3 linked regions of the Tamandua tetradactyla genome follow. The protein of the gene in region 3 interacts with the protein of the main gene of each other region in a biochemical or structural test. Links are inferred from orthologs where the notes say so. Each region holds a gene or a part of one and is shown on either strand. Other genes may lie near its edges.

What was found. The genes of interacting proteins can lie anywhere in the genome.
Region 1: of the proteins of MCM6 (region 3) and CDC7, one has a biochemical effect on the other in vitro, tested with the Homo sapiens proteins (2 studies listed by BioGRID). The link is inferred for Tamandua tetradactyla from reciprocal best matches to the Homo sapiens genes MCM6 and CDC7.
Region 2: of the proteins of MCM6 (region 3) and DBF4, one has a biochemical effect on the other in vitro, tested with the Homo sapiens proteins (2 studies listed by BioGRID). The link is inferred for Tamandua tetradactyla from reciprocal best matches to the Homo sapiens genes MCM6 and DBF4.

The regions. Positions count from the first base shown.
Region 1 is NC_135337.1:32,880,334-32,890,632, forward strand, and holds the start of CDC7 (cell division cycle 7-related protein kinase), read right to left. Parts: upstream 4,249-10,299; 5' UTR 4,138-4,248; intron 3,398-4,137; 5' UTR 3,335-3,397; coding exon 3,220-3,334; intron 1-3,219. UniProt on the Homo sapiens protein: Kinase involved in initiation of DNA replication. Phosphorylates critical substrates that regulate the G1/S phase transition and initiation of DNA replication, such as MCM proteins and CLASPIN.
Region 2 is NC_135327.1:129,016,003-129,027,476, forward strand, and holds the start of DBF4 (protein DBF4 homolog A), read right to left. Parts: upstream 4,249-11,474; 5' UTR 3,934-4,248; coding exon 3,888-3,933; intron 2,669-3,887; coding exon 2,493-2,668; intron 1-2,492. UniProt on the Homo sapiens protein: Regulatory subunit for CDC7 which activates its kinase activity thereby playing a central role in DNA replication and cell proliferation. Required for progression of S phase.
Region 3 is NC_135329.1:105,538,886-105,549,680, reverse strand, and holds the start of MCM6 (DNA replication licensing factor MCM6), read left to right. Parts: upstream 1-6,568; 5' UTR 6,569-6,649; coding exon 6,650-6,756; intron 6,757-8,904; coding exon 8,905-9,051; intron 9,052-10,484; coding exon 10,485-10,595; intron 10,596-10,795. UniProt on the Homo sapiens protein: Acts as a component of the MCM2-7 complex (MCM complex) which is the replicative helicase essential for 'once per cell cycle' DNA replication initiation and elongation in eukaryotic cells.

The DNA.
Region 1 (10,299 bases), on a different chromosome or scaffold from region 3:
AAGAAAATTCATGTCAATAACTGAAAAGTACTACTACAAGTGAGGTGAATAAGTATATCATTTGAGGATTTAAGGGAAGGTCCTGAAAAGTCCATCACAAGCTAAAAGTTTATTTAAATGACCATGTTTTACACATGAGAGTCTAGGTTTCTATTTTGAAATTTTATGTGAATTGTCTTCTGCTACATAATATACTCAAGTTGGTTTTAACATAACACCAGCCTCCTAACCGTTCTCCCTGCTAATGTACTTGCCTACCTATAGTCTTTTTCAACACAGCAGCCCGACTGATCCTGTAAAAACTATGTTATCGGTCATACTTTACTCAAATTCCTTTAATGTTTTCCCATTTCAGTCCATGCAAAAGCCAAAGAACCCCCCTCTGCATACCTCTTTGATGTCATCATAAAAGTATGCAACGTGTTATTTCCCTAAGGTGAGATCACTTTCTTCCTTCCAGCCACAGTGACCTTCCGGTTATTCCTAAATGCTAGGTCCACTCCCATCTCAGGGCCTTTGCATTTGCTGTTCCCTCTGTCTGGAATGCTCTTCCTTAGATATCTGCATAGCTCATTTCTTCAGCATTTTCAAGTGTCACCTCACCTGAAACATTCTCTAACTACCCTGATTAAAATCACAATCTTCTCCCCCAGTGCTTTCAATTTCCCCTTTCCTTCTAAATTTCTTCCTTGTAGTAATCACTTTTGAATTATGTCTCTTGTTTACCATCTATCTCTTTCCACTAAATTGAGGGCATGGATTTTTGTGTGTTATATACAGTGATTTATCCCTAGCACCTAGAAAAGTATATCCACATAACAACACGTTTAGTAAGTACTCATCGAATTGAGTGAAATATTTTCATTTACTTACCATGGAGTAAAATGAGCACACCAAGAACATGTTACATTTGTTCTGGGGGTTTGTATACTGTCTGACTTATACCTTCTACAACTAAGGAATCATGCAATTTAGTCCAAACTGGGACACTCCTGAGAGTGAAAGGGGGTACTACTAATAATTAATTGACATGAATAATTATTAGTGACAACAGGTATAAACCGGACCTGTCCCTGGCAAACCAGGATGGAAGTTCACTCTTCCTATAAACTATTTTAGAAGCATGGCATAAGGGCATCCATATAACACAATGAAAGCAAGCCTTCTAGTATTGGCCAAAATTATCAAGAAGAAACTTGACTTAACTTTATTAAACAAAACTGGTGGTTAGAAAGGATAAACTATGATCCCAATTTAGTTTTTAAAAAATGTAACTCTAAATGTATGTATAGGAAGACTAAATGAATATAAAAAACTGTCTACAGAGGCAATATTTGGATGATGAAATTAGATATAATATTTTCTTATTTTGGTTATTTATACTTTCTAAATTTTCTTCAAAAGCATGTGGGAATTTTTATCAGGAAAAAAAACTACAAAAGTCTGACAAATATCCCAAAAAAAGGGTAATGTCACCCATCCATTACACTAGGTATTTTACTCTACATCCTTATACTAAATCATTAGTTCAAATATTTTCAAGCTTCTACTATGTGCTAGACACTGTTAGGTCCTGGGAATACAAAGATACATAAAACAAGTTCTACCTTCCAAGAGTTAGTCCATCAAGGGAAAGCAAATCAAATTAGATCATGAGATAGTGATGTGCTTGGACCTCATCAGTTTTACTCCTTACTGAACCTATCACTGACTTATGTTTTTGATATAACCTTAGCTTTTATTAAGGGTCATATAAAAAAGAATATGAATCATATTTCTGCATGTTTATAAATGATCAAAGTCACTATAATGTCCAATCTTCCTTTACATAAAGGCCAAATAACCTATGATATTTGGCATAAAATTTGCCCCACTCTTTATTTCCCAGAAGATTCTCAGTAGACTATTAGAATGGTAGCATTCTCTTGAAATATTGCTAGATAGACTCAAGTCAGATTTATAATGCACAATGCATTAGAAGCTTTGGGAGACACTGTCTTCAAGGAGCTTAAATAAAAACTGCACAGATAAAATACAATGCTAAACAATACAAGAATAATAATTCGAGGCAGTACTTGATGAATTGTCAAATGACTAATATGGGAAAGCTCGAGTAATGGCCAAAAAAAGGTGGGTGGGGGGAGTGACAGTGTCCATGAAATTGAATGAAAGTAGCATACAATTATTCTGGTACCAGTGTATAAGGTGAACTGGAGAGTGGAAAGAAGTGAAAGCAGTTTGGAAACATCATTATAATTCAGAGGCAAAATCATAAGGGAATGAATTAATATGGTGCCAGTGGGAAAGGAAAGGCAATGCTACACATTTTAAAAATAAGTGAGATAAAGGTGGGCGACTGGATATGGGGAACAAATACAAAGCATAAATCCAAGACAATTCTAAAGTTTTAAGCATAGGTAACTGGTATAATAGTGGCTTTAAAATAAGGAGATCAGAAAGGGTATTCATTTTGAGACCAAGGATGAGTTTAGTTTTAGCCAGAAAGCCAAAGTATGCGATGTCCTATCTTTCTAGGGTGAGATAAAGTCTATTTTGTAATGTGTAAAATACATATCTAGCATGGACAAATGGTCAAAATTACTAGCATTTGGACAAGCACTAGATTCACTTAAAACAAAGATAGAAAAGTTTTTATCATCTATTAGGAACACAAATAAAGTCAACTGGAACTCTTCTCATTTAACAAATATTTATTGAACATCACCAAGTCCCAGGCACTGTGCTAGAGCAGGAATGCAGGTACCATTTTAGCCTACAAGATCCATATGGATCCACCCTTTCCTCCTCACTTCAAGGTTTGAATAAGGCCAAAGAACACTTCATGATGTACACTGAGATGCGGTGTACAGAATTCATTTATTTGTGCCACTTAATTCAATTCTGCCTTTGACTACTTTAGTGAAGATCCCTCCAGTGTCAATTTCTAAATGCAATATGGTGAGTAGTGATAAGAACAAAGGTCTAGGAGGAGATTCATGCTTTGACACAACTTACAGGTTCTCAGGCAGTCACAACATTTCACCTTTGCCATTTCATCTGTAAAAATGACAGTCCTAAATCTACAGCTTATGAAGCTTTACTGATGTGTAAAATGCTCCTATACAAACATACAACTTACTTTAAGATTCGAGAAGTTATTAAAAAAATTAAAATGGAGAACTGTTGCATGTAAGTACATCTTTGGAATTGAACACATACCTGCAAGTTTAAAATTCTGCTCATTTTTTTTTAAGGAGCCTTCAACCTGAAACCGGCCACGCAGGGGAGAAAAAGCCGTTGGCTCATCCACGTGAATCCCCAAAGTCGCTTCCATCACAAAACAACTAGGATGCAAAATGCCAGCTAAGGGATTATGTCCACAGGGGAAGCAAAGGAGCTGTAAAAATTAGAATACTGGAGAAGATGAGACTCACTTAACCAGGTACTAAAAAAACCCACTGCCCCCAATGGGGTAAACAAACATTTTTTTTTAATGCATTATATGTCCAAATTCCTAAAGGAAAGAGAATTGGGGGCCACTTCTAAGGATTCTGTTCGCTTTACCTTCACCTTTAGGAAATTTTGGCAAGAGGCTGAAGGGATAGTTTCCTAGTCGGGGGAGGCTCAGTAGCAGCTGGAGGGGGTGGGGTAGGGTGTGTGTGCGTAGGGGGAGATGGGGATGGAAGCGGCTGGTGCAGCTCCCAGGTACCAGCCTGCTGGTGTGTATGTTTGTGTGTGTGTAAAGGGGGACGCCGTGCGGTTTGATCTGAGGACGGGGACTGAAGGAGGAAGTCATTTGGCTACTGAAGGGGAGAGGCGGGAGGCTCGTCCGAGACCCACGCGAGCTAATAGAGAATCGATACGGGTCGCGAGCACGAGGCGCAGGAAAAGAAGGGAGAATGAATGGAGATCCTCCCGGAAGTGCCAGGTCGCGAGCTCCGCCGGGAAAAGACGTTCTTTCCTCAAACCAGAGATTGAGGGGGACGCCCAGTGCGCAGGCGCGCGACTTTCCCGCCGCAGGTCGGCGGGGATATGAGCGGGGGGTGGGGGGGAACTGCACTACGACAAGCCCGGAGTCACGAATCATTTCTAATCCCTCACAATCACGCGCCACAGAACAAGCCGTCGGAAACTCACGGTTGAAGGGAATACGACTTCTTCTGTGGCTGCCCAGATACCTCAGTCGCCCGCTCCAAAGCTCCCAATCTAGCGAGTCTGCCAAATGCGCCTGCGCAGCACTTCCCGCCTCGCTGCTTCTAGTGCTCATGCGCAGTATAAATCTCTAGGCGCCTTGTAATCCGCCGCTGGGCGCCTGCGCAAGAGAGTTGGCTTTCTTTCCAGAGGTCGTGGCTGGCTAATAGGTCGCCAAAAGGGTGGTTATAGAAATAAACCCGAATAACCATTACTAAAATATAGGGTAAGTCTATCATAAGGCTATGGCTTCAACATTGTTTTCAGGAAAGAAGGTAATTCAGAGAAAGGAAAGCCTCAGGGCCTGCAGTCCTGACATACACTTCCGCACTCTGGCCGTCCATGACATTGAGCAGACTGGATGAAAGACAGGCACTTTCTTGATTCCATGTTTTTACTTCCTTTTCAGAGTCCCCCGCTTCTCTTATAAAACAAACAAAACATGTCAATTGCTGATTGTTTGGGGGCTGTATTTATAGAAATGGTAACCGTGGCATTCATTCAGTCACTCATTTATGTTATTTAACGCTTGGCTGTGAAACGGGGAGGTTTCTAGGGGCTGGAGTTATAGTGAACCAGACAGACAAATGCCACCCTTTTATGAAGCTAAATTGCAGTTAGGTGGTGACAATAAGCAAATGAATAAATATGAAACATTCTTTCAGATGGTGATTAGTCCTCCAAAGGAAATAAAATGGAGGAATGTGATAGAGACTGGGGTGGAGCCACCTTAGGTGAGGTCAGGAAATACCACCAAGAGAAGAGACTGGTGATGAGAAGTAACCACCAGGTTAAACGCTACTAGGCAAAAGATAGAGCAAGAGCAGAGGTATGAAAGGGGTAGGAATGAGCTTGGTATGTTTGAGGGGGGAAAAAGCCAGAGTGAATGAAGCATAGGGAATGTGGGGGAACATATCTGAGATGAGAGCGGAGAATTAGGCGGGGGTCAGATCACGTGGAACTTTTAAGCCAAGGTAGGAAGTTTGGTTTTTATTCTAAATGCAATGGTAAGCATTTGAGAGATTTAAAGGAAGGGAGAAAAGTGATCTTATGTGTCTATTGTGAGAAGAATGGATTGTAAAGAGGAAGGAGTGGAAGCAGAGAAAACAATACGAGTTCTGAGGCTACAGCATGCTTGAGAGAGGGAGAGTGGTGGTTTTGGACCAGGATGCTAGTAGCAGAAATGAAGGAAAAACAGTGGATTTGGTGATTGATTGGCTGGGGGGATGAGGAAAAGGACAGTGCCAAGGGTGAATCCTAGGTTTTTAGGTTGAGCATATGTGTGGATGGTGGTGTCACATAAAAGGGAAGGCTGTAAAAGTAACAGTTTATGGTGGGGTGAAGGGGTGGAATCTAAATCAAGAGCACTATTATGTCTACTGAGACAGAGAAAAGCAATTCATGATATAAAGATGCTGACCTGGTACTGTCAGCTCAGCCTGTTGTTGCTACTAGCTGGCCTGGTAATCACAAGTAGGACTCAGTGTTTGTTTTAATTACTTAGGCTGCTCAAGCAAATACCATGAAAGGGGTTGACCTAAACAATGGGAATTCATTAACTTATAGGTTTGGGGACTAAAAAAAAGTCCAAATCAAGGCATCGTTAAGGTGTGGAAGACTGGCATTCTGGTGCTGACTGCTGCAACCTGTTCCTCATTTGTCACATGGCAAGACACATGGCCTCTCCGTTCTCTTCCAGGTTCCATTGATTTCAGCTTCTGACTGCTTCCTCTGTGACTTTCTCTGTATGAATTTCATTCTCTTATAAAGGATGCCAGTGATAGGATTAAGACCCATCCTGGTTGAGGTGGGACACACTTTAACTGAAGTGCTTCCATCAGAATATTCTACTTGCAATGGGTTGACACCCAAAAGAATGGATTAAATTTAAGACCCTGTTTTTCTGGAGCACATAACAACTTCAAACCAACACAGTGTTCTATTGAAAATGAAGAGTTTTACAGATTCAACATCAGACAAGGCCACTCTGTAACCATGGTGGATTAAGACAAAAATAAGATAATAATCTGAGATTAATAATCTGATAATAGAATACCATAATCATGTTTGAATACAGACAAAACAAGAACATTTTTCAAAGACACGAAAATGTCAAACATCTCCTTATTCTGACTAATAGGAATGACTGTGGCTTCTTTACAGATTGCAGTTTTAGCTTCAGTCCAATTTTCTCCTCTTTCTAGATAATACTTACTAAAATGCCCAACTATGAATTACCCCTGCTTCTTAACAGCTTTCAATTCAGAGCAAAGTCCCTTTTGCTTGAATGGCTTTAAAAGTCCTGCATGGTTTGACTGCTGCCTAATTCTCCACTTTCATCTCACATTCACTATGCATTCATCACCTAATACAAACCCAAATCCTTATGGTGTGCGTTCTCACTTACTGAAATGAGTAATAAATCTAACTTGTCCAATCATAGAAGAGTTCCTTGTAAGTCTCTTGCTGGAGTGCATTAAAAATAATCAAATCAAAGATGTCTGTTTTATATCCACGTGATGATGTCAAGTGGATAAAAGTATATATTAGCCTGGAACACAGTCTTTGCTGGAGATATAAATTTCCTAGCCATCAACTTACAAATGAAACGTAAAGCCTTGGGACTGGATGAGATAATCAAGGCAAAGTTTGTAGAAAAAGAACAGGGCCATGAGATCCTCCAACATTTCAAAGTTGAGCAGAGAAGGAAGAGCCAGCAAGAGAGACTGAGAAGGGGTGCATGGTTGGTTCAGTGGTACAATACTTGCCTTCCATGTAGGAGACCCAGGTTCAATTCCCAGACCATGCACCCCCACCTCTAAAAAAGGGAAAGAGACTGAGAAGCAGCAGCCAGAGAGGTAAGGAGGTGGTGTCAGAGTCAAGAAAGAAAGTATTACAATTTGAAGGAAGTAGTTAACTATAGAAAATGCTGCAAGAAAATCAAGTATGATGAGGACACAGTAGGAACATGAATTTGGCAACATGATGATCATTAGAACCTCTGGCAAGAGCACTTTCAGAGATGCAGGGAGGCAGAAAGACTAGAATATATTGAATGAAAGATGTATGGGTGGAGACAATTCTTGAGGTTCTGTTCGTCTATTTTGTTTCTGATTTTGGGGGTGGGAGGAAAAGCAGAGAAATAGGATGGTGGGTGGAGTGGGTCATGTAGACCATGGGAGGTTTTTTATTACTAATGTTGTGTTGGCAGATAGATGTTTATATGATGGTAGGAATGATCTAATAGAGAAAGAGAAATTATTGATGTGGGAGAAAAAGGGAATACCCACAAAAATTAGGTTATAAAGAAGGATGAAATCGTAGATCCAAAGCACAAGGAAGTGGGATGGGACTGAAAAACCCCTGAATTTCCATCTTTTTAACAGGATGGAAAGACAAAGAAGATGGATTCAAGCAGCTGTTTATATATGGGTAGGTGGATAAGGTTAGTTCCTACCTGATCACATCAATTTTCTTAATAAAATATGAGATGAGGTTTTCAGCTGAGAGTGAGGCAGAAAAGTATTAAAGATTGAAGGAGTGAGAAGAAGGTCTAAAGAATCTTCTGAGAGTGAAAATGTGAAGAGGGAAAGGTTGCAATATTGCCAGCAGGTTTGAATGCCTATTTGCAGTCTGTATCATGAATTTAAAGCATAATGGTATGATTTTTCTCAAGTAAACTTCAGTCAAGAGAGTATAGACATGAAAAAGGATAAATGGATTTACCAAGAATGAATATCACACAGAAAGGCAAGTAAGAGTGTTTACAAGGCAGTAATTGTCTTGATGCACCATGGAATCTTTGGGAGGCAACAACAAAAGGTGATTAGGAAGCTAATAGGGGTAGATAGGTGAAAGTGGTGGGAACAATTGATTGGGAATTTCATTGTAATTGAAGAATTTATATATGGGGGGTACAAAAGTAAGATAAAGGATAGAGGTGCTAGATGGTATGTGGAGTGGTGAAAATTGGGATTTCAGAGGTAAGATGTTGGAGAAGCCATACAATATTGCTAACATGGCTGCCGTGGCTGATGCAAGGCAACACGAAATGGCTGACCTGAAATCTGCCCTTCGCCCTAGCAACAACGGTGACCTATCCCAGAAATCTGCCCTCCAGCCTAGCAACAACGACCACCAATCCCAGCCCGACACGTGTCCCTGCATGCTTCCCAGCTTATATAAGCCTGTGCACTTCCTGAATAAAGCAGACGCCTTCCTTTTTCCCCTGAGGGTTGTCTCCTGAGTTGTGTGCTGTGTGTCTGTGTCTGTGTGACTGACTCAGTACGGCCACTTACCCCCAGCCATCAGCTAACCAGCCACCAGCTACCCCACAGTAAGACCATTGGAGAAAGTAACTCAGTTTGCTGAAGGAAAAGATCCATTTTGGTGTGAAAAGATCAGATTATCCTGACTCAAAACCCATGCTAGGGCCAAGGAAAAATCAGTTATTTTGCCTAATCCACTTTCTTCCCAAGCAGTGAGTGTTATTCCTTTCTCTGGTCACTGTTAGTGCTTTATTCATGTCTCCATTTGAGCACACAGGCATAGGAAGGAAATACAGAATCTTGGCACCCAGAGCAAACCTACAGATCTTCAGGTGATTTGCATGAACATTAAAGTCTAAGAAGTGCTGTTGCAGAACACTGAGTTCTCAACCTTGTCTGTACATCAGAATCACCCGAGGAGCTACTAAAACTCTTGAGAACCAGGCTGTACTGATCAAATGCAACAGAACTTCTTGGGGTGGGACCCATGCATTAGCATCTTTTAAAGCTCCCCATTTGATTCCAATGTATAACCAAGGGGGAGAACTACTGATTACTAAGTTGATCACATTTATTTGTGAAGTCCATATCATAATCCTTGCCAAAGTTACTTCCCCCATTTAATCATATGATGTCTCCTTTACTTAGCAGCCAGAAGTGTGTAGTGTTTTGAGGGGTAGAGGGGTGAGAAGAGTTCAGCTGACAAATGCTTCAGGATAAAGTAGGGATTTTGGAAACAACTGGATAAACACATAAGGACTTGCACAATATGGTACCTAGGCCCCAGCCCAGGTAGAGAATAACTAATTATCCCTCTAACCCTGTCCCTCCTTCAATGCAAACTGCAGAGGTTTTGGGTTTTTTTTGTATGCTGTTATGGTAGGATCACATTTCATTCTTTTTCCATGTGAGTGTCCTGTTATTGCAGCACCATTTGTTGAATTTTTGTTTGTTTTTTATTTCTTTTCATTTTGCTTGTTTGTTTATTTTTGGGGAAGTACATGCGCTGGGAATTGAACCCAGATCTCCTGCATGAACCTACCACTGAACCACCCTTGCACCTCCACTGCAGAGGTTTTGATTCTTAAACTACAGTAAAGGAAAATCAAGGATAAATTTTCATTTTTTTTTTTTAAAGAAAAGAAGGATATAGGGTTATTATCCAAAGTGGGTAAGGCTGAATACTACAGTGTCACATGGTCTGAGAAAAGGAATATACTTTATTCGGAAAAGATATTAGCCAAGGGTTAGCCAGAGAAGCTAACATGGACACTCTGTGTCTGTGCTCCAGCAAAGGGATGCTGCCCTCCTGTGTTCTCCTTTCTTATAGGGAAGACATGAGAACAATCTTATTAATGTGGTTTAAACTACTTGGGTATCAGGCAATCTGCATTTAGATGTCAACTGATTATGAGTTGTCTGGGAAGACCAACTCCCAACAACTAGAAACCTTGAATTCTGTGAAAATTTGGGTTGAGTTGGGTGCAGCCTCTCCCTCTGGGAGAAGTGAGGAGCTTCTGGAACCAGCTAACCAGTTGTACAGTCAATGCAGAATAAGTTCCCAGCACAATTTTCAAATAATTCTTTTCCTTTCTTGCCATGGAGGCATCTACTAAAGGAACAAAAACAAAACAACAAACAAATGGATAAAAAAGAAATTAGTAGTGTACAAAAAGAAAAGTTACTGAAAGTCTTATCCCTTACCCCCCCCCCTTTTTTTTACCTCCACTATTTACTTGAAACAAATAACTGAGGCACCTGCTCAGACACTCCTCAAAGATGGACAACCTGGGATAAAGTTAAAACAAATACACAGCTTTTTAAAAAATATGTGAATAGT
Region 2 (11,474 bases), on a different chromosome or scaffold from region 3:
AATGAATTTCCACATGCTCAAATATTCCCCATTCTTTAAAGCCCACTTCAAATTGCGTCTGCAAAATGTCCCCTATAATTGCAAGACCCTCTTGCTAACATTCTATGTTGTATTACAATGAATTATATCCATACCATCTCCAACTAGATTAGAAATTGAGGGCAAGCCAGACATTGGACTCATTTTTGAATCCATCCAAACACTTAATACAGTACCCTGCATATAATATTCAAACATTTGCTTTGAAAACTAACAAAAAAATTAGTTTTACCACGATCTTCAGTCTAGTAGCATATTCTTAAATGTATGCCCTTTAAGGAGTAATTAAAAACTTATTTTCTGATGACTCAAGGTCATGATGATGAAACATAAAATATTTAACTCTCTTCTTAAGTTCATGATATGGCACGGTATCTGCCCTTACATCTTTATTCTTTAAATGCCTATGTTAACCAAAACTATTTGGATATGGACCTAAATATGGTTGGTTCCATGTCATTATAGATTTTTGTAACGACTTTCCTAGCCACTTTCAAAGACATTTGCCCATGAGGTCAGAATTCACTGCTGTGTTCTCAAAGACTGGGTTTCTCAGAGTGCACTCTTCAGATAAATAGGTATTAAGATGTTTTCATTAAGATTAGAGGAACTAAATTAATATAAAAAAATGTCCAATTAAATAAAAAGACAACACCAGTAATTATCTGAAGATAAATTATAAAAAGGATAAAGTGTCTAAGTAATCCTCAGCAATATTTAAATACAAAAGCATAATCGTTTCAAGGAATATCTAACTAAATTTGTATTTCTTAAAGTTGAATCCTAATACTGTTAAATTAGTGCCTAGAGATCAAAGTTCCTTTATAGTTCATATAGCTCTTCATGACAAGGTCTTTCTTTAGTGATAGAAATCATAGTGTACTAGAGGCAGAACTCAGGACTCGTCAAGATAGTGTGTGTGTGGGGAGAGATGGGAATTGGATAAAAACTTTTTAAAAAAAGAGAAATTAAGGAATAAACAATAATAAATTAAACTCAGTTGAAATCCATAGCTTTGGGGGAAAATTTGGAAACTGACACTCTTACCATGCTCTAACTTCAAAAGATTTGAAAAGTAAAAACAAAAAGGTCCCTCAATTGTTATCTGGGAGAGAAATAATTCCAAAATTTTTTTTTTCAGAAGTGCCTCAGGAACTGCTCTAAAGACTGGAGGAGAGAAAAAGAGGGGGCACAGGTAGTTCTAGCCTTTGCACTGCTGCTTTAGCTGGAATAGTTTCCTTTTTGCGGTTTTATACACTGGACTTCTAAATACAATTTTGTTTGAAGGGTTCCACTGCTAAAAGCACAAATCTAAAAGTCAATGATTTAGATCACAAGGGTTAATGGTGATTTTTCAGAAAGCTGTAAAATTACATCAAATAGCTACTTTACATCCACTAAATGCTGGTGGAATAGAATGGTGGAGTTGTATATAAGTCTGAGAAATGAGAGGTGAATCATGTTTTGATTGAGTCAGTTCCTTAACTTCTCTAGACCCAACATACTTCATTTCTAAAATATAGGGAGTTCTACAAATTTTCTAAGATCTTTAACACGTTAAGACACTCTTGGTATGCGGCACAGTCAGTAAAGGTGGCAGGCTTATAAAACAACCTTTACAAATGTCATATTGCCATTATGATTTGTGTTACTACAATGATACATGTGAAAATAGTTTAACAAAATAAATAGTAAAATAGTAACTACAATAACTTTTCCAAGATAGGAAAAGAAAATACCCCTCAACACAATTCCAGGAAATTTCTTGCCAATTCTTCAAGTTTCATTTATTCAAAGATGTTTACCTTGAGATACTCAAAGTTAAAGAGAATCTAACTTTTTAAACAAAAAGAATTAGGAAATAAACTAATAGAATCTGAATAAACTCACAAAAATTCATCCAATATTAACCATAATTCTAAGAAAATCTTAGAATTTTGGACAGTTTTCTAATTTCCTAAACATTAATCAAGTGAAAAAAGAAGTAGGCTTTTCAGATTCTTAATCCAAAATTCTGTTGCACTGATGACATTCATTCCTGTTGAGACTATTTCACTCAAATACAATTTTAACTCTTTGTGGTTTGAATTGGACTTTGTTGTTCTGAATTACCAATATCCTTAACATTATACTGGTCCAGACAAATGTAAACAGCTCTACAATAAATGCCATCAAGCAGTTCCTGCTAAGTGGAGGACACTCCAACATCATAATGAGAAGGTAACCAGTGTTGCAACTAGGACAAGGGAGTCTGATTTCTCACACTTTGGAAACTTGACACTAGACTATAAATTACAGAGATCTGAAAATTTTGCCAGGCTACCAAAGAGAAATTTTAGGCTTGATGTTAACACTTGGTTATAACTTTTCCAAAGCGAAAGTTTAAAATGATTACATTAGTGAGTATTAGTTATGAGTTTTTGCTTTTTTGTCTGTGTATAGTTTTGACTTACCCCTCCAAGATCTTTAATGTCTTTTTGCAGTTTTTCAGATATTGTAACAGAAGGTAAGTCCAGGTAAAATACTTTTCCCCAAAGTGGCTTATATTTGGATTTTTCTGGTTTGTTGTTATCAGTTTTCAGAGCCTTCAAAGAGGGTCTGTTTTTTTCATTTTTGACTTGGATTCCACCTGTTATTAAAAATGTTCAAAATTAGATCTTGTTTCACGTAAGGAGAAAATTTCTGCAGTTTTAAAAACATTTCATTGTATGATAATCACGGCATTGAGGAGAAAATTCTTTTAATTTTACCAATTTAGCAGCCATTTGCATGTATTTCCTAGTAGTATAACTTAGGATAAAGGCAAAAGACCAATATGCTTTTAACAGATGTCACACTATAAAATAATTATTAATTACTGAAAGAAGTCTTGAGTCAGGAAGAAATGTTCACTATATTTTGTTTATCAAGGAACAGATCTATACAAAATCTTTATGTAAGTTTTCTTTCTTAGAATGTAAACTCCATGAGGGTACTCACTGAACAAATACTTACTGAACATCTTCTATTCTGATGAATACTTTAAATTGGTGCTTAAAATGTTAAACTCTTAACTATGCAAGAATTTTGTAACCCCGAATGTCCTAGTACTCAAGGATTCAGAACTGTTCAAGTTTTTGTTTCACATACATACTGATTTTCTATATATTAAGAACCATTAAGGGCCACTTGAAAGAACCAAATCATTTTTTCAGACTTTCCATTGAAAACTGATCTGAGATCCAAGTAATTCTTAGAAGTTAACCTTTAGGATATAATCTGTCTGTAAATGGGAGGTTTCCATAGATACTAAAAATTAAAACTTACAGGTTTGAATATTTTATCAAATAAGTGACGGAGAAATGGAAATTTGTTTTCCTGTTTGTCCATAACGCTGGAAACAGGAACGACGTGTTTAAAATTCACACTTTCCCTCGACTTAGTGAATGAAACAAAATAAACTTAATAGGATCTAAAATCTACCCACAATCACCCAACCTAATCACGAAGCAAAAAACTACAAGCACATCAGCCTTCGAGCTTTCAGCTTCAATGGGGTTGAGCTTCTGTGGAAGCTACGGGGGGAGGGGGCAGCACGCAGCCCTGGCGAGTTCCGCCCGTACATTGTTTCCTAGTTTTACAGCCATCCGCACAACTAGGAAATTGGGGCCGCGAACAAGTTCCCTTCTGAACTAGAACCCTCAACGGAACCTTCCTTCAGGCCCCGTTTCCACGGAGAAGAGATGGACGCACAAGCCAGAAATGAAAAGAAGCAGAGGACTGGGCGGGAGAACTCTGAGGAATCGATGGTGGAGCCATCAAAGGAAGAGAGAATTAAAGGGACTGCGGTCGGAGGAGGGGCTTCGTACCCTGAAAATGTCCTTTGCTATGAATCCTCATGGCTCCGGAGTTCATGGCAGCCGCCCGGCACCTACATACTGGGTCTGGAGAGGGTGTCGCGCCGGGCGGCCGCGAAAGCACAGCTCCCCCGGGTCTGCTAACAAGCCAGCTGCCTCTTCTCTTCCGTGTGCCGCGGTCCCCACACAGCAGAAAGGCTGCGTCGGCGGGCCGGGCTTCCGGGGCAGTATCCGGATCCAAAGTGCGGAGGAGGAAGGGGCAAAGAGCAAGCGAGTGGGCCACGGCGGTTGAAGATTTGAAAACGCGTCACACGGCCGCGGCGACGCTCTTACGCGCGTCCCGCCCTCTCTCCCGCCGCACGCTGGGCTTCGCCGCGCGCTCGCCCCGCCCCCACGAGCCACCTCCTCACGCAGCTCGCCCCGCCCCCCACGAGCCTCCTCCTGGCGCCTCGTGCCCCGCCCCCACGGGTCACATCTCCGCTCACACCCCTCCGGTATTGCGATGCCCTCTCTGCCTCAGACCCTAGTTCTCCGTCCGCTTCTGATCCCTGCACACCCTTCTATAGTCTTGGTGTTTGCGAGTTGACTGAACCTAGTGGATGCAGCTACTGCCGGAGGCCGGCTCAGCCCACCCTTTAGGGTTGCCGGGACCTCCTGCCCTTCAGTCACCTCTTCCACCTGGTACGCTAATTTCCCAAGATTCGTATCTCGGAGGTTGGTGGCGCGGCGGCTGGGGCCGACCTCTGATTTAGCTTTTGGCTGCGGGGCCGTGGCGGTAGCCATGGCCAGGCAGCCGTAACCCCTGGCCCAGTGCGTCCGGAATCGCAGAGCGTGGTCTCCCCGCGGCCGCAGCTGACCCAGCGGGTTGGGGACGGGCCGCAGGGAGGCTTCCGGGGTGAGAGGGTCCCGGGCGGCGTCGGAAAGAAGGAGGCGCCTGGAGGGCTCCTGCCCTAATGGGAGCGCCACCCCAGAGCGAGTTCAGGTCGCTGTGTGCCCTTTGGCACATCTCTTTTGACCTCTCTTGTACACAGGTTTTTGTTTTCATTCCTTATGTAAGTTCATTTCATCAATTTAAAAAAGGGGTGGAATTTAAAATCTCAAGTCCAGCGATTGGGTCTGAACCGACCATTTATCAGCTCATGAGAGTTTGATTAAATTACCAAGTTACTTTAACTGTAAGTCTACTCATCCGTAAAGTGAAGATAGCAATGAGATTATGGCAATGATTAAATTAAAATTAAAATATTTGTGAGAGAGTGCTTTGTAAATGGGAAAATGCTTCACATATATTTTGGGGGTTATCTTTCTGTTTGTAAGATTTCTAAGGAGGAAGAGGGTTGTTTTTTCTTGTGCCACTTAGTATTCATTAACAACTCTTGGACATAATAAGCACTTACTGTTTTAGGCTAATGTTTGACCTGACAGATTAGGGAAATTAGTAAGCACCAGTGTCAATTTTTAACATATAGACGGTACATTGAAGCTTGCAGGATGGACTGTGATACTGTCAGCTAACATAATCAGGTTTGCTAACGGAAATAAGTATTTTGTGTTGGACAGGGTTAATGATGAAGGGCCTGGGGAGACAGTCTTGAAACTATGTTTTTTAGACCATTGGAAGTATTTACCTGTAACTCAGAGGAGAGGTCTGAGAGAGAGCCAGAGAGAGGAAGGGCTCATATGAGCCATCATATACACCAGTCCCTGATTCTCCTTCATGGGGTGATGTGTAAGGTTATGAGATCTTGAAAGTGGGGAGGAGGTGTAGTTTTAACCAACCAACATATTCAATATTATAAATTTGATTTGGGGGAAAAAACTCTTTCAAAATGTGTTACAAAAAGAATATAAGATTTTTGTTTACCAAAGCTTTAAAAAGTGAAAAACACTAATAGAAAATGTAGTTAAAGCTTTGGGAGGAAATGAAATTGCCCAGGAGAGCATGTGCAATAGAAACAGCCATGATGGGTGGCAGGTGGTGATGAAATAGTGACAGAAATAAAGACCAAAGAGTTTTGAAGAAAACTGGTAACAAAATTTAGCTTCAAAAACCGAGAGAATTGCAAACTTTGAAATCAGGTAAGCTTTTGAACCTCAATTTTAATCTGCAAAAAGGGGTAATAATCCTCAGAACTGTTGTGCGAGGACTAAATGAAATATTTTAGAAAATTTTATTATTGCATTGCTTGGCACAGAATGAATCAGAGCTAAGTGCTGTCGTACTGGTGAACCCTGCACCACTTCTGTCCTCCGCAAGAGAGCTCCAAAAGCTTAAGACTTGACAAATAGGCCTTTGATTTTGGTGTTTATTGCCATTGGTTGTCACTGGTTTCTATAATGATAATTTCAGTACCTGGTGAAAGTGAGTGCTAGATAATAATCTGTGTGCTGTGAAGATGGGTAGACTACACTCTTTCCCAAAACTTTATCTGTGTTAGGTAAGTATAATGATAGAAAGGGAAGATTGAGCCTTTAGGAGGTTTAAGCAGTATCAGACTACCTAGCTTTTATACCATAACTGGAAGGAGAGTAACTTAGTTGTATCCTATGCTTTACACATATCCTTGACTGCACTGTGGTGATAATATTGATATATGAATAAGGAGAAAGTCTGCTTTGCTGCATAGTGTTAATTTTGTAACCTGTAGCCCAAGGTTAATTTTGAAAACTATCGCTGAGAAGTGACTTAGTTTCCAAGCTGCTAAAACAAATACCATGCAATTTGTTGGCTTCACAATAGGGATTTATTGGCACATGGTCTCAGAGACTGAGAAGGCTTGCTTCCTCCCACAGTTATCTTCTGGCTGGCCAGCAATACGTGGGGTTCTGTGGTTTTCCGTTACTTGGCAGTGCATATAAAGCATGGAGGCATGTTCTCTTTTCTCTCCTAGGTTCCAATGACTACTGGCTTCTGACTGCTCCCATTTCCTTATATTTCATTTTATTTAAGGACTTCAGCTATATTGTTGAAGGCTTACCCTCATTCAGCTTGTGCTAATAACTAATAACATCTTTGAACATCCTATTTACAGATGGGTTCATACGCACGGAACCAGGGGTTGGGACGTGAACTGCCTTTTGTGGGGGGAAATAATTCAGTCCCCAACAAAATCCAAATCTTTTAGTAGTCACAGGAAAAAAGAATTTGGCCAATAAGGATAGAAACCTCCTTACCTGTCATATCAATTATTAAATCTCTTAGTAAGAGAATAAGGTTTATGTTAAAATACATCTTGGGAATGTGATATAGAGAGAGTCTTTCAGATGATGGATATGCCTTCAGGAAGAAATAAATGAATGGGAATAGTGTTATTTGTAGTAAATTTGGTTTAAGAGTCCTGTTAAGCAAAATTGGAGAATATTGAGCAGAATCATGGTCTAATTAAATGTGCATTTGGCTCTGAATCACGAGAAAGGAATTTCTTTCGGTAATGACTGTGTCGGTTACTAGTTTGATGACCTTTGATAAATACTACCCTTTCTATGCTAGAGTTTCATCTGTAAGTGAAGATAATAGCTGCTCAGTCTTCCATTGTGGTTATCAAATGAATCCCAGTCTACTTTTTCCATCTATCTACCTCATAGCCAAATATATATATTTTGTTCTAGAGTCTCAAAAAACTGATTTACTTATTCTTCTGAAATATTCTTATTTTCCTGTTGTCCTTTTTTTTTTTTTTTTTTTTGCTTAAGTCTCTCCACCTAGCTGGCAATTGTTCCTCTTCCTTATCCATTACAAGCATAGCATAGATTTTTCCTTTATTTCCTGCTCCTGTTGGATTCATTTGCCAACTACTGATATATTATCTTCCAAGATGTATTGTTATTTACTCTTTTGGTCATTTGGACATCCTGGGTTTTTTCTGAGGTTGAGTTCCTAGTTTTGTAGGCTAAGCATATGAATGGTTAGGACTGAGTAGTGCCTATGACATAGAAGTTCATATTTCAGGTGACACTGAGTTGGGAAACCAGGTAAAATCAATTCGGAATATGAAGTCTTAACACAGCCTAAGTGAAGGGTCAAAATGGAGAATATGCAAAACAAAAGGAGCCAGAATTTGGGAGTAGATCCTCTTGAGAAAACATAATACAGAAGCTGCTATGGCAGGTATAGGAGCTGTTAAGGATAATAAACTGGTCCAGAGGCTATATCTTATGGCCTGAACTAGATTATAAATTCCTTTAAGGTAGTATTGAGCACACATTTGATCATGACTGTAAAACAGTCTACCTACCTACTCTCCTTCTGTCTTTTCTTCCATATTTATCGAGCACTTACAATGTCCCATATCCAATGAAATTGCTTTACTATAAGACACTTAGAAGTATCAGCATGCAATAGTTATGCTTTCTTTTTAAAAAAATTTCCAATATTCATAATTGAGGTATAATTCACATGAGATCATCTGCATTCACTTTAAGCATACAGATTGATGATTTCTGGCAAATATGTACATCCATGTAACTGTCACCCCAATCAAGATATAGAAAGTTTTTGTCATCCCAGAAGTTTACTTCATTCCTCTTCCCGGTCACTCTTACTTATCCCATCAAAGGCAACCACTCTTCTGATTTGTATTATCATGGATTACTTTTGCCTGTATTTCAGCTTCATATAAAATAGAATCTTGTAAAATATACCTTTTGGGTCTGAATTTTGTATAACATAATAGTTTTAGATTTGTCATGTTGGTACATATTTAAAACTATTATGTACCCCAGAAAAGCCATGTTTTAATCTTGATCCAATCTTTTGGGGCCAGACCTAGAGTTTAGGGTGGAAACCTTTGATTGGGTTGCTCCATGGAGATTGACCCACCCAGTTGTAGGAGTAAGCTTTTGATTAGATTACATCTGTGGAAATGTGATATACTCAATTGTGGGTGTGACTTTTTGATTAGATGGAGATGTGACTACGCCCATTTGAGGTGGGTCTTAATTAGTTTATTGGAGTCCTTTAAAAAGGGAAACATTTTGGAGTAAGCTTAGGTACTTGGAGTGCCCACACAGAGATGCTTGGAGAACAATTGCTTCAGAGCCAGACAATTGGAGATGCAGAAATAAAATGCCCCTGGGGAAACTATTTGAATCCAGAAACCGAAGACACCTGCAGACTCCAGCCACATGCCTACCCAGTTGACAGAAGTGTTCTGGGCCCATTGGCCTTTCTTGAGTCAAGATATTTTTCTCTGGATGCCTTAGTTTGGACATTTTTGTGGTGTTAAAACTGTGAACTTGCAACTTAATAAATTCCCTTGTTAAAAACTGTTCCACTGTTCCATTTCTGGTATATTGGACACAACTCTGGGTTTTGTCTTGTTTGGCATCTTGTGGAAAGGCACATGGCTACGTCTCCTGGGCTCTGCATTGGCAAATGCCCGTGTCTAGACATTTGCTTTCTCTGGAGGCACTCTTAGCATCTCCAAATATCTGTGTCTGTCAGCTCTGAAGCAACAGTTCTCAAGCATCTGCATCTGAGGTTTCTCCAAAATGTTTAAAGGAATCTAGTAAACTCATCATGACCCACCTTTAATAGGTGGAGTCACATCTCCATCTAATCAAAAGATTCTCTCCTTATCTTTGTCATTTGATGCTTTGGATATTATTTGTCTAGGTGTGTGTATTTGGGTGCATACTCTCTGATATTCATTGAGCTTTTTGTATGTATAAATTCAAGTCTTTCTTTAAATTTGGAAGTTTTCAGGACCAAGGATCCACACTGGCAAGATAGGCAGGCTCAATACTGAACTGGTGTAGAAATGGGAGAGTGGGCAACAAAGGTGCCACAAGGAGGTTTCGCTGAAGCTTTGAGAAAGATGTTTCTGCCAGTTCTTGCTATTCTTTTTTTCAGAGCTTCTGTAGGATACCTGGCTCTGGAGCATCTCAATCTTCTTTTCCCCATTTTTGAAACAATTCTTGGTTGACAGTTTTTTTTTTTTTTTAATCACTTTAAAAATTTCATCCATTGCCATCTAACTTCCATGGCTTCCTCAAGAATTTAGTAATTTTATTGAGGATCTTCTATGTGATGATCACTTCTTTCTTGCTGCTTTGTGATATTCTGTCTTTGGTATTCAGCATTTTAATTATAATCTGCCTTGGTGGGGTACTTTGAATCTATCTTACTTGTAGTTATTTTGTTTTATGTGTATATTCATATCTTTCACTAAATATGGAAAGTTTTCAGTCATTATTTCTTCAAATATTTTCACCCTTTTTTTTTTCTCTTTTTGGGATTCCCACAGTGCCCTTCATCAGTATGCTTGATGATGTTCTGCATGTTTTCAGCCTGTGCTCACTTTTCTACATTCTTTTTCCTTTCTGCTCCTCAGCCTGAATTTTTGCACTTGTTCTGTCTTCAGGGTCACTGATTCTTTCTTCCAGATGTTCATGTCTTCTGTTAAAATACTTGTCTTAGTTTCCTAGCTGCTAAAACAAACATCATACAGTGGGTTGGAGTAAACATTGGTAGTTTATTTGGTCATGTTTTTGAGGTTAGGGGAAGTCCATAATTGAGGCATTGGCAAGACAATCCTTTCTTCCTGGAGATTTTCACATTCCGGAGTAGTTGCCAGTGAACCTTGGGTCCTTGGCTCTTCCACCCTGTGGCAATTTCTTTTCCTTTTTCCCAGGTTCTGTTGATTTCCAGCTTTTTGCTTCTCAAGTAGCTTTCGCTTTCCCTGTCCAATTTCCTTTGCTTTTCCGAGGACTTAGGCCATATTGGATTAAGACCCACCTTCATTCAGTTTGGACACACCTTAATTTATAACTTTTTCAAAAGTCCTGTTTACAAATGGGTTCACAGCCCCTGGGCAAAGAGTTCAGACCTTTTTGTGACAGACATTATTCAATTCCCAATAACACTCTAGTGAATTTTAATGTCAGTTATTTTGATTTTCAGCTGCAGAAGTTTTGTTTGGTTCCTTTTAAAAATTTCTGCCTCTGTTCAGAGTTCCTCCTTTTGTACATGTATTTTTTTTTCCTGATTTCTTTTAGTTCTTCCCCATGTTTTCTTTAGCTTACTGAATATAGTTAGAGAGTTGACTTAAAGTCTTTGATTAGTCTTTGCAATACTAATACAAATGGAATGGATTCTGTCACTTTATTTCTTTCTTTTGAATGGGCCATCTTTTTCTATTTCTTTGCATGCTTTGTGGTTTTTGTTGAAATCTACATGTTTGAATATTTTAGTGTGTTAACTGTGGAAGGTCAAATTCTCCCTTTTTCCCTGGGTTTGCTACATTTTTTTCTCTTATTGTTGAAGGTTGTAGTAGCCCATTTGTTTAGTGATTCTATTTCCAAACAATTTTGTAAATACTGTATTCCTTGATGCATATAGTCACAAAAGCATCTGTTCCTTTAGCCTGTTATGACAGAAATTTCCTTGAATGCCAAGAGCTAACAATAACAACAACAATAAAAAAACACAGGAAAGCACCTCTCTCAGTGTTCACACGTTAGCTCTGGTGGAGCTGTTCTTCAGCACATAGCCAGCTTTGCACTGAACCTAAAGAATAGCCTGTGGTGAAGCTTGCTGTCCTCTCAGGTCTTTCTCAGCATACGTCTGGGCAAGTATAGCCTCATAAATTTCTTTAGATA
Region 3 (10,795 bases):
AGGATTTTTTGAATTAGGGTACCTTTCCATGGATGCCTTAGTTTGGACATTTTCATGGCCTTAGAACTGTTAACATGCAACTTAATAAACTTCCCTTTTTAAAAGCTACTCTGTTTCTGGTATATTGCATTCTGATAGCTTACAAACTAAATCACTCTCCATCAAAAACAACACTTCTATTTTTTTTTTTTAACAAAATTTGGGGAATGGAAGGGGTGAAGTCAGCAAATAAAAACTGCTATGAATCTCAGCACACATTTGAAGTCTAAAAAGAATCTGATTTCAGATCAGACCAACAAGGACCAAAATATCTTATTTTTATCATCCTGCTTCACCCTTAACAGAAATATGTCTAAAACATATCGACCTCATAGTACCCTCTTTAAACATTAAAGGAGGCTTCACCAAAAAATCAGAGGTCTTTACATCTCAGAGAAAAGTACTTAAAAAAAAAAGTAATTTGGGGGATGGGTGATGAGTATGCCCTTCCTCTTGAGAGGGAGAGGGGTATTGGGGGGGAGATAAGAAAAGTTGATGCCAGGAAAAATGTGGAAGTAGAAGCTGAAGGTCTGGAAATTGACTCCCTTAAGCTTCATTCATATTCATCATATTCCTTGGGAAGTGTCCCCATACCACAGTGTAATGGCTACACAGCTTCCAACAGTCTTGCAATAAGAATCTTGATTTCAGACCCTCCTTTTATCAGGCTTTCGCTGGCACATGATGCCCCACAATTCCTGAGCCTTTCTAGGTTCCGTGCAGTGCAGAGATACATATATTTATCGATTTTAGAGAAGATGGCATCTTAGCAAAGTGCACGTTTTAGTTCGTCCTCCAGAACAACTACTAAATAACCAGAAACAGTACAGAACAGCTCCTGGGGCCACGTCAGTGACCAGACACACAGCGTATCTGAGTCTGGACCAGTGGACCAGCTGCGAGTCTCCTCAGAATCGTGAGTTCCCCAAGCCCATGGTGGCCGGTGCCTCTCCCCCACAGGCTATTTCCCAGAGGGAAAAGGAAAGAGACTTTAACAGCATCAGGGGCTGAGCCCAACCAAATACCAATAGTGGAATTAATTAACAAATTCTGACTACTAAAAATAGGCCCCCAACTCAGGTGAACCTGGTCAAAGCAGAAGTCGCTCATTTTTGCCCCAGCGCCAAGGGGGCAGGGCTGATGGAAAAAGAAAAAAAAAGGAAACAGAGGTTTTTGTGACTGTGTTTCTACAAAGGCTTGACTACCTTTGGATTTAGCAGCAGGACTTCTCAGGCTGCAACTGCCCCAGGCATAGGCAGAAACAAGATCATTTGAGGGCTTGTCTGGAACCTGTGCCTTCCCCAGGGGAGGAGTGAAGCCCAACTCAGGTGGAATCCCTCCCTTAAGGAACTCAGACACCAGGGCTTGGTAATTTGAAGCCATTAAAACCAGCCTACAACCTCTCCTCTGTCTCCATCATGCCTCCAGCAGGGAGATTCTGCCAAAGTTAAAGGTACAGCATTATCTTATGCTGGTGGGACCCGCAGGCAGACAAGTGCCACATACTGGGCAGGATAAGAAAAACAGAGTCCAGAGACTTCACAGGAAATTCTTTCAACCTGCTGGGTCTCACCCTCAGGGAGACTGATGCAGGTAACTCTTTCCTCCTGCTAGGAGGCCAGTTTGGCTTGGGAAAATCCGGCTGGGGTCTATAATACATAAGCAGACCCTCCTAAGGGTGGGGGGAAAAAGGCACCACACAAGCAGGGCAAGAAACAGGAAAATAAGAACTGAAAAATCTCCTCTGTTAAACAAAACCTAAGCCAGAGGTCCAGAATAAGCTGAACTGAATGTCAAAGAACAGAGAGACAACAAATTCATTCAGCAAGAAAACCCTAGGTAAAGGAAGTGAAAGCAATCTCCAGAATAAACTAGTTAAGGTAATTAAATGTCTATACACCAGCAAAAAATAACAAATCACACCAGGAAAATTGAAGATATGGCCCAGTAAAAGGAACAAACCAACAATTCAAATGACATACAGGAGCTGAAACAATTAATTCAGAATATACGAACAGACATGGAAAACCTCATCAAAAACCAAATCAATGAATTGAGGGAGGATATAAAGAAGGCAAGGAATGAACAAAAAGAAGAAATCGAAAGTCCAAAAAAATAAATCACGGAATGGCTAAATGGTAATGAAAGGCACAGGAGAAGAGATGAAAAAAACAAAATCTACAATGGTAGGTTTTGAGAGGATTAGTGAACTGGAGGATGGAACATCTGAAATCTGACACGAAACAGAAACTATAGGAAAAAAGTGGAAAAATATGAGCAGGGACTCAGGGAATTGAATGACAATATGAGGTGCACAAATATACGTGTTGTGGGTGTCCCAGAAGGAGAAGAGAAGGGAAAAGGAGGTGAAAAACTAATGAAGGAAATTATCACTGAAAATTTCCCAACTCTTATGAAAGACTTAAAATTATAGATCCAAGAAGTACAGCGTACCCCAAACAGAATAGAGCCATATAGACGTACTCCAAGACACTTACTAATCAGAATGTCAGAGGTCAAAGAGAAAGAGAGGCTCTTGAAAGCAACAAGAGAAAAGCAATCCATCACATAAAAGGGAAACCCAATAAGACTATGCGTAGATTTCTCAGCAGAAACCATGGAGGTGAGAAGACAGTGGGATGATATATTTAAATTACTAAAAGAGAAAAACTGCCAACCAAGAATTCTATACCCAACAAAACTGCCCTTCAAAAAGGAGGGAGAAATTAAAACATTTTCAGACAAAAAATCACTGGAAGAATTTGTGACCAAGAGACCAGCTCTGCAAGAAATACCAAAGGGAGCACTAGAGACAGATACGAAAAGACAGAAGAGAGAGGTGTGGAGAAGAGTGTAAAAAGGAAGACTATAAGTAAAGGTAAAAAGAAGGAAAATTAGATATGACATATAAAATCCAAAAGGCAAAATGGTAGAAGAACGTACTACCTGTACAGCAATAACACTAAATGGTAATGGATTGAATTCCCCAATCAAAAGACATAGACTGGCAGAATGGATTAAAAAACAGGACTCATCTATATGCTGTCTACAGGAAATAAATCTTAGACCCAAGGATAAACCTAGGTTGAAAGTGAAAGTTTAGGAAAAGATATTTCATGCAAATAACAATCAAAAAAGAGCAGGAGTAGCTATACTAATACCCAACAAATTAGATTTCAAATGTAAAAATATTTATCAACTGGTATGATAAAGTATCAACGATCAGTATGGATGCAGGCCATTGAACTGATGCAGCGTCCAGGCAGGCATTGCTCCCTTACTCCCTGAATTGTGAGATCTTGGGGTGGAGGGAGCCTGGAGAGTAACTGGATTGGTGGGTGGCAGAGTTGCATGGTGGGTGGGGCTGGAGGAGGCTCAGGACAGTAGCGATTTACCAAATAGTAAGAAACTATTTCAATATTGCATTTTAATATGTACAGCTGTATTCTAGTTTGCTAGCTGCCGGATTGCAATATACCAGAAATGGAATAGCTTTTAAAAAGGGGAATTTAATAAGTTGCTAGCTTACAGTTCTAAGGCCAAGAAAATGCCCCAATTAAAACAAGTTTATAGAAACGTCCAATCTAAGGCATCCAGGGAAAGATACCTTGATTCAAGAAGGCCAATGAAGTTCACGGTTTCTCTCTCAAGTAGAAAGACACATGGTGAACACAGAGTTTCTCTCTTGACTGAAAGGGCATGTGGCGAACATGGTTAGGGTTTCTCTCTCATCTGGAAAGGCATGTGGCGAACATGGCATTATCTGCTAGCTTTCTCTCCTGGCTTCCTATTTCATGGAGCTCCCCAGGAAGCATTTTCCTTCTTTATCTCCAAAGGTTGCTGGCTGGTGGGCATTCTGCTTCTCATGGCTCTGTCGTTCTGCTCTCTCAGAATCTCTCACATTCTCCAAAATGTTTCCTCTTTTATAGGATTCTAGTAAACTAATTAATACCCACCCAAATGGGTGGAGACATGTTTCCACCTAATCCATCTTAACAATCACTCTTAATTGAGTCAAACATTCCAGGGAGTTGATCTAATTACAGTTTCAAACATACAGTACTGAATAGGGATTAGAAGAAACAGCTGCCTTTACAAAATGGGATTAGGATAAAACATGATTTTTCTAGGGTACATATATCCTTTCAAATTGGCACAAGCTGTACAAGTGCATACTGGTTGACTGTTACCCTGGCTATCTGGTCCTTCTCAAAGACTGCCTTCTGAAGACACAGGTTTCAGCTTTCTCAGCTTTGCTTGGACAGTTATCATCCATGCTTTCCCTTTCTGTCCTCTAAAATTTGATTGCTCTCTGTCTATTGTTGTCTTCTATTCCTCTCTCTATCGATACTCGATTTTATTCATTTACTGTCATTTTAGGATTGCAAAGGAAACAGAAAAAGACCTCTTCAATCTGTCATATTAATCAGAAGGCCCCAATTTATATTTCAGAAAGTTTAGTTTGGCTGCAGAGTGGAGAGTGGATTGAGCTGGGAATAAGTCTAAGTAAACAGACTAGAGAGGTAACTGAATTCCTAGGAATATGCATGAAAATGGATGGTAGCCTAAATAAAATGATTAATAATGGGGATGAAGAGAAGTGGACAGACTTAAGATACTTAGGAGGCCTGTGTTCTCCAGCCACAAAATTTTTCCAAGGGTCTTCTTCCCTCCTCCCCTACCTCCACCTCCCACTCAGTTCCCACTAGCAATTCCAACTCTTCATGAGGTAAATCCAGATGACCTCTGATGTTTCCTCACATGCTGCTGGCAGTGGAAACTGTTATCAGAACCACCCAAAGACAGTGGCATGGTAAGCTCAAGCAGACAACAATATATATATATATATATATATGAGGCATACGGCAAACCCTGAGAAAAGGAATGACATTACCTTCTAGGGAAGAGGTTCTGGGGGTGTGACCAAGTCCCAGAGAGGGAGCTACAGCTTCAATTCTTGTGAGGCAATGGAGGCTTATCTTGAAGCAAAAGGCTTTATCTGAGTTTCTCAGAGAGCTTAGCTGTTAAGGTCAGCCTGGAACTCTGTCTGCTCTCTCATGTTTGGTCTTTTCCTTCTGTACATGGGATCTGAGTTCTCAGAAATCTACCAAGGATAGACGAGGAAGAGAGGAAAGGAAAAATGGGAAAGAAAAAAGTGAGGCCTTTTGAGGATGAGGCAGAATCTGGTTATGAAATTGCTCCTGGATACCTTGTGGACATATTTTGGGGCACTGAGATTGTGAATATCTAAGAAGCAGTTGAGTTTGAGGTTCCTACAAAACATACAGGTGAGGATGTCCATTAAGTAGGTGGATATACAGTCTGGAGCTGGTAAAGGCTGAGAGATACAGGGCCTCAAGCTCCCATCACCTTGCAATGAGGTAATACACACAATCACAGATAAACTACAGTGCACAACAAGTAGCTTTTTTTTGCTAAAAACTGTAAATATCTTGAGAAGAGTATATTTGTGTATGTGTGTTAAAACAATTACTAAATTTTAAAAAGAGTGGGGAGGGGACCTGGGGTAAATAAGTACACTGACTTAATCCACGCTTATTATTCTACTTATTGAAAAAAAGCAGAAATAAAACATCCAAGATTTAGAAAACAACAATTTCTATAACTGTCATCCCTCTATCTGGCATTTAAAAATCTTTCTAATATAATGAAAGCGTCAAAATACGGAAGTGGTCCAGATTTCTCTTAATCTCTTGGAGGCCCAGGAAAAAGTGGCGGCTGCGGATACACATTTGTAAATCATCAGCGTAAAGAAGCCAACAGTGCTTCTTCAAAGAATTTTCGCGGGATTCGCTAAAGAAGAGGAGCCTGCAAAAGAGGTAACGGGGAACAGCTGAAGAGATAGAAAACCCAAGGGAAATCAAAGAGTCGGAGAAAGACGGCCACATAGGGCAAACCCACGAGCGCACAAAATAACAGTTCGTTTTAAGAAAGGGATCAACCAACGGTGTCAAATACTTAGCTCATATTCCCCAGTCAGCATTAATCTAAGTAACTGCCCGCCATTGCTCACTGTTGCACAGCTCAGCTCTGCTAGTTTCTGTTTTCACTATTTTTTTTCTTCTACAGGCTTTTATCCGGCGGTTTACAGCTTATTTCCTCCAAGCAGATAGCTCAAGTAGGGCTTTGAATCTTACTTATAGTTCTCTCCCACAGAGTTTTATTTCTACTGCTCAATTAATATCAATAGAATGATCTGAGGAACATCTGACCAGCCACCCAGACAAAGATCCCAGCTTTTAACCAGCTCAAGAAGCCGAACACCGCAAGGACGCAGACACATTGCAGACACATTGCGCAGGCGCAAAGACAAAGCCACCCACCCCCCACCGCTTTCTCCAGAAGGTATTTGCATTTGGCGCGAAATCCCCGCTTAGTGGGCGGGACAGCAGGAGAACTTACCTCTCATTGGACAGGCTTGGCGCGAAATTTCAGAGCTCCTGCGCCACGATTGGCTCCCGCCGTCCCGGTCCGGCAAGGGGGCGGGGAGAAAGCTGCGCCAGCGCGCGCAAAGCGAATGCGCCTGGGGAGAGGTAGCTCGTCGCGAAGTGTGTTAGTGTTGGCGGCAGCTCCAAAGTGCTAGGCAGCCATGGACCTCGCCGCGGCCGCAGAGCCGGGCGCTGGCTCCCAGCACCTGGAAGTCCGCGACGAGGTGGCTGAGAAGTGCCAGAAACTGTTCCTGGACTTCTTGGAAGAGTAAGTCGGCAGGCCTGGGTCTTCCCCGGCCGCCAGCCCCGGGGGCGCCCTCCCTGAAGTAACTTCCCCTCGCGGCCCTCTCCGCTCCGGGCTCGGGCGGGGCGCGCGCCTCGGGGGCTGAGGAATCGCGCGCCCTGGAGGAGCGCCCTCTGCCCGGTTTTAAGCTCCGAGCCAGGTCCTCAAGAGGACAGGGCTGGTTTAAAAGAAAAATAATTTTGAGTGTTTATTCAAACTTGTTGATCTGCATGTCCTGCGCTAAGCATTTGCCTTATATGGTTTAATTATCGCTACAACCCTCGAAGGCCGGTAGTAGTTTAGCCCCTTGTTAACGGATGCAAAAACTGAGCTTCGATGAGGTTAACCAAACAGGCCACACGACTCGGCCTGGTCGAGTGAAAGGCAGAAGTGGCATTTGGGTCCTGGCAGAACTCTGATTGAACAGCCAGCCAGAAGACTGGTGGGGCCACCGGGATTCCTGGCCACCACTGGAGATGAAAGTACCAGAGCGAAAGTGTATCTCTCTGCTGTGACCAAGTTTGACACATGCTCGATGGGGGGGTGAGCTCCGCCCTGCTGAAAGGCAGCTGAACACACCCATCCTTCTGCCTGATTTCCTTCCTTCACCCCTCCCACTCTTCCAGGTTTCTGGTTTCCCATAACCCCATTCCCCTGATTTTTTTCCCATTGTTCGCTTTCTTGCATAGTAAAGATACATCACTACTCTCCCTAAGAGTCTCGACTGACCTGCCTCCAGGACTTCGGAATATTGAAATTCTGACATACTTAAACTTAAGATTTATATATCCATACTTTTAGCACTGTTATTCTCTGCCTGACAGCTACTCGCTCAACCCTGTATCTCCTTTGTGAAGCCCTCATGACCCAGGCACCATTCATACCTTTTTCCCTAATGTTCCCAGGGTTACCATTTCCTGTATGTTTCTGGTAATGTGGCTACTTTTATTTACCTGTCAGCCGCTCATTTTGAGTGTGAATCCCATCCTCAGCACCACCTACCCAACACATCATAAATGTCCTCAATAAATATTTTGTTTCAGCGAATAGTTTAGGTTCCTTCACTTTACTGTTAAGTACTGGGGATGGCAATGAACAAGACAAATAGTCCTTGTACTTTGTTGAGAAAAAATGTTTGCCTCCCTCTTGAAAAGCCAACTTTGATTCCCCATCACCATAGAATAAAGTCCAAATTCTTCATAGTGCCCCTTCCGGTTTTATTTCCCACAGTCAGCTCCAGTTGTCATTCAAATTCCTCCCATATCATCTCCGACATTGCAAAATAATTGCAAGCATAGAGAGTCTATCCAGGACCCCTGTTTTTCTTTGGAATTTTTATCATCTTCCAAGCCTGAATTCCAGTGACACTTTTAGATATGTAGAAAGCCTTTCTTTTAGGCAGACTTAGTTTATACTAACTGCATTTTTTGTACCTCTCTTTAGTAAGAAGACTTTCTTCCCTTTCTCAGTTGTTTATATATCTGTCTTGAGTGTAAACTCTAGGGCAGAAATAGCACTCATTTTCAGCTTCAGGTGCCTCTGGCAACATGTTCAATAAATATTTAAGAGAGTTAGAACATCCTATATTTGAAGATGGAATTCTATCATAATTAATCTGCATATTATGTTAAAAAAAAGTAGGCAACTCTTGAAAAAAATTTCACCAGCTCTTTTGTGTGCATGTATGTGTATTTCAATTTCTCTGAGGTCTTAGACAGTGAAACACTTTGTTTTTATTCTGATTTTATATTAGTTTTCAAATTCCCCAGGAAATTTAGGCCTTTGGGCTTTTACGTGGATATCCTGATTGAACATTTTATTAGTAATAGTTAATAATTATAGAATAACACATTCCAGTCAAGAAATTTATGTTAAAACCCAAAGACCTAATTTTCCTATGTTTATAGGCATTCTCTCATTTAATCTTAGCAGCTGTCTCATGAAATGGGTGATCTTTCCTTATCTGTTAAAAAATGAACATTTTCTTATTTAAAGGAAGCAGGTTTAGAGGAATAAATAACTTCTGAGTCTAAAGCTGGATGATATTTAAGCAATACACTGAACTATCAGCATTCAGATTCTTTCTACTGCTCCCCTTTTCCTTAATTTAATCTGATGTGTATATATCTGCAGGTTCCAGAGCAGCGATGGAGAAATAAAGTACTTGCAGTTAGCAGAGGAGCTGATTCGTCCTGAGAGAAACACATTGATTGTGAGTTTTGTGGACCTGGAGCAATTTAACCAGCAACTTTCCACCACCATACAGGAGGAGTTCTATAGGTATGGGTGTATTAATCTCCTTTACTTTGAATAGAGGTGAAGTTCTGGGAAGCCAGCTCTTCCTGGTCTGGAAGTATTCACTTGTGCGGCAAGGAAGCAGCTGTCAGTTACTTGCCTCCTCAGAAAGGGGGGTCCTTTTGGTATTATCTGTGGTCATTTTAGAACTATTCTGGACTTCATCTTGGCCTTTGTGGAGCTGAATGTTTTTTTCACATAAATTGAAAACCTTTTCTTTCTATGTAGTTTTCCCAGGTTTTAAGAGGATTGCTTACTTTGTGTCAGACATTTAGTACTGTTGCTGTCATTCCTTTGATCCTGCCTCCTACCCCACTCCACACACATCCTCACCCTAGTAGGTATTTTGAAAAAGAACAGTATGTGTTTGTGTGGGTCCTTCTTACATCAGGGCTATCTTTGTAGCAGTGTCATTACTGTACCTCCCATTCCCTTAAACTTTAAATTTGTTTTAAATAAAAATGAGGTGTATATTGTAGAAAATAAAGAATAGTAGAGGGGACAATCATCTGTACATTTGTAATCCAACCACCTTAGATAATCATCATGAGCAGGTCTGCTGCAACAGAGTTCCAAAAATCTTCGAGGTCTGGAAGTAGAGTTTCCTGAGCATCTCTGGATACCTTATTTATGTGTCTGTAATTAAAAAAAAAGTAATATGAGACTATGTTATAGACATATCACCCTGCCTTTTTTACTTAACATTGTATTATTTTCCATGTCATGTAAAATTCCTTGTGACCATTTTAATGGTTAGATAACACTTTTTGACAGAAATACCATCATTAGACATATTTAATAATTAGGCTTTTAGTGTTTATTATATTCTGCAGGAAACATCCTTGTATATAAATCTTTGTCTGCATCTTGGATTAAATAACTTACATCTGTTAAGAGAATATGCACACTTCAGTGTTAACAAACAACATTTCTGTCAATTTCCTCTCAGATTGCTATACAGTTTCTCTGTCTTCATTTCTTATCAGTCAAGAATGAAGCATAAAAAAAAATAGTAAGCCTTGATACCAAATTGGAGAATACCTTGCTAGATGTAGATAGAGCCCATAGAAAACTCGTAGTATTGAGTATAGTACTGAAAGAAGTGATTGTTTAGTTTAGCTAGAGTCATCTTGGACAGGATTGGTCTACAGTGTGGGTACTAAATGATATTTACAGATCATATGTACTCAGATACAGCATTTTGTCTTTGATGTTTCTGTTGTGAAATAGATGCATTTGTGGTGGGGTAAGAGATGAATAAAGAGGCTCCTAAACCGGGTAAGTGTTCTGCTTAGGTAGTTTCTAAGGCTTGCTTGTAACCAGATGATATTCCTTGGTCTCAGCTGTTAGCAAGCACTGAAAGAGAAGGAGGCCTTTATAGGCCTAAGATATGAGTTGTTGTTTTGTTTATTTTTCAGAGTTTACCCTTATCTCTGTCGGGCTTTGAAAACCTTCGTTAAAGACCGTAAAGAGATCCCTCCTGCCAAGGATTTTTATGTTGCCTTCCAAGATCTGCCTACCAGACACAAGTAAGAAACCCTTTGGAAGAAAAGTTTACTAAGTAATATAGGCATCATTTAATTAGGAGGTTGGAGTCCTAATTCTGCCATTAGCTGGTAGTTTAATGTCACACAAAATAATTTTTACCCCTTTCGTCCTCAGTTTTCTCATCTGTAAATTCTTTTGGCTTAGGATTTTTTTGTTTTGTTTTTAATTTTTAAAACATTTT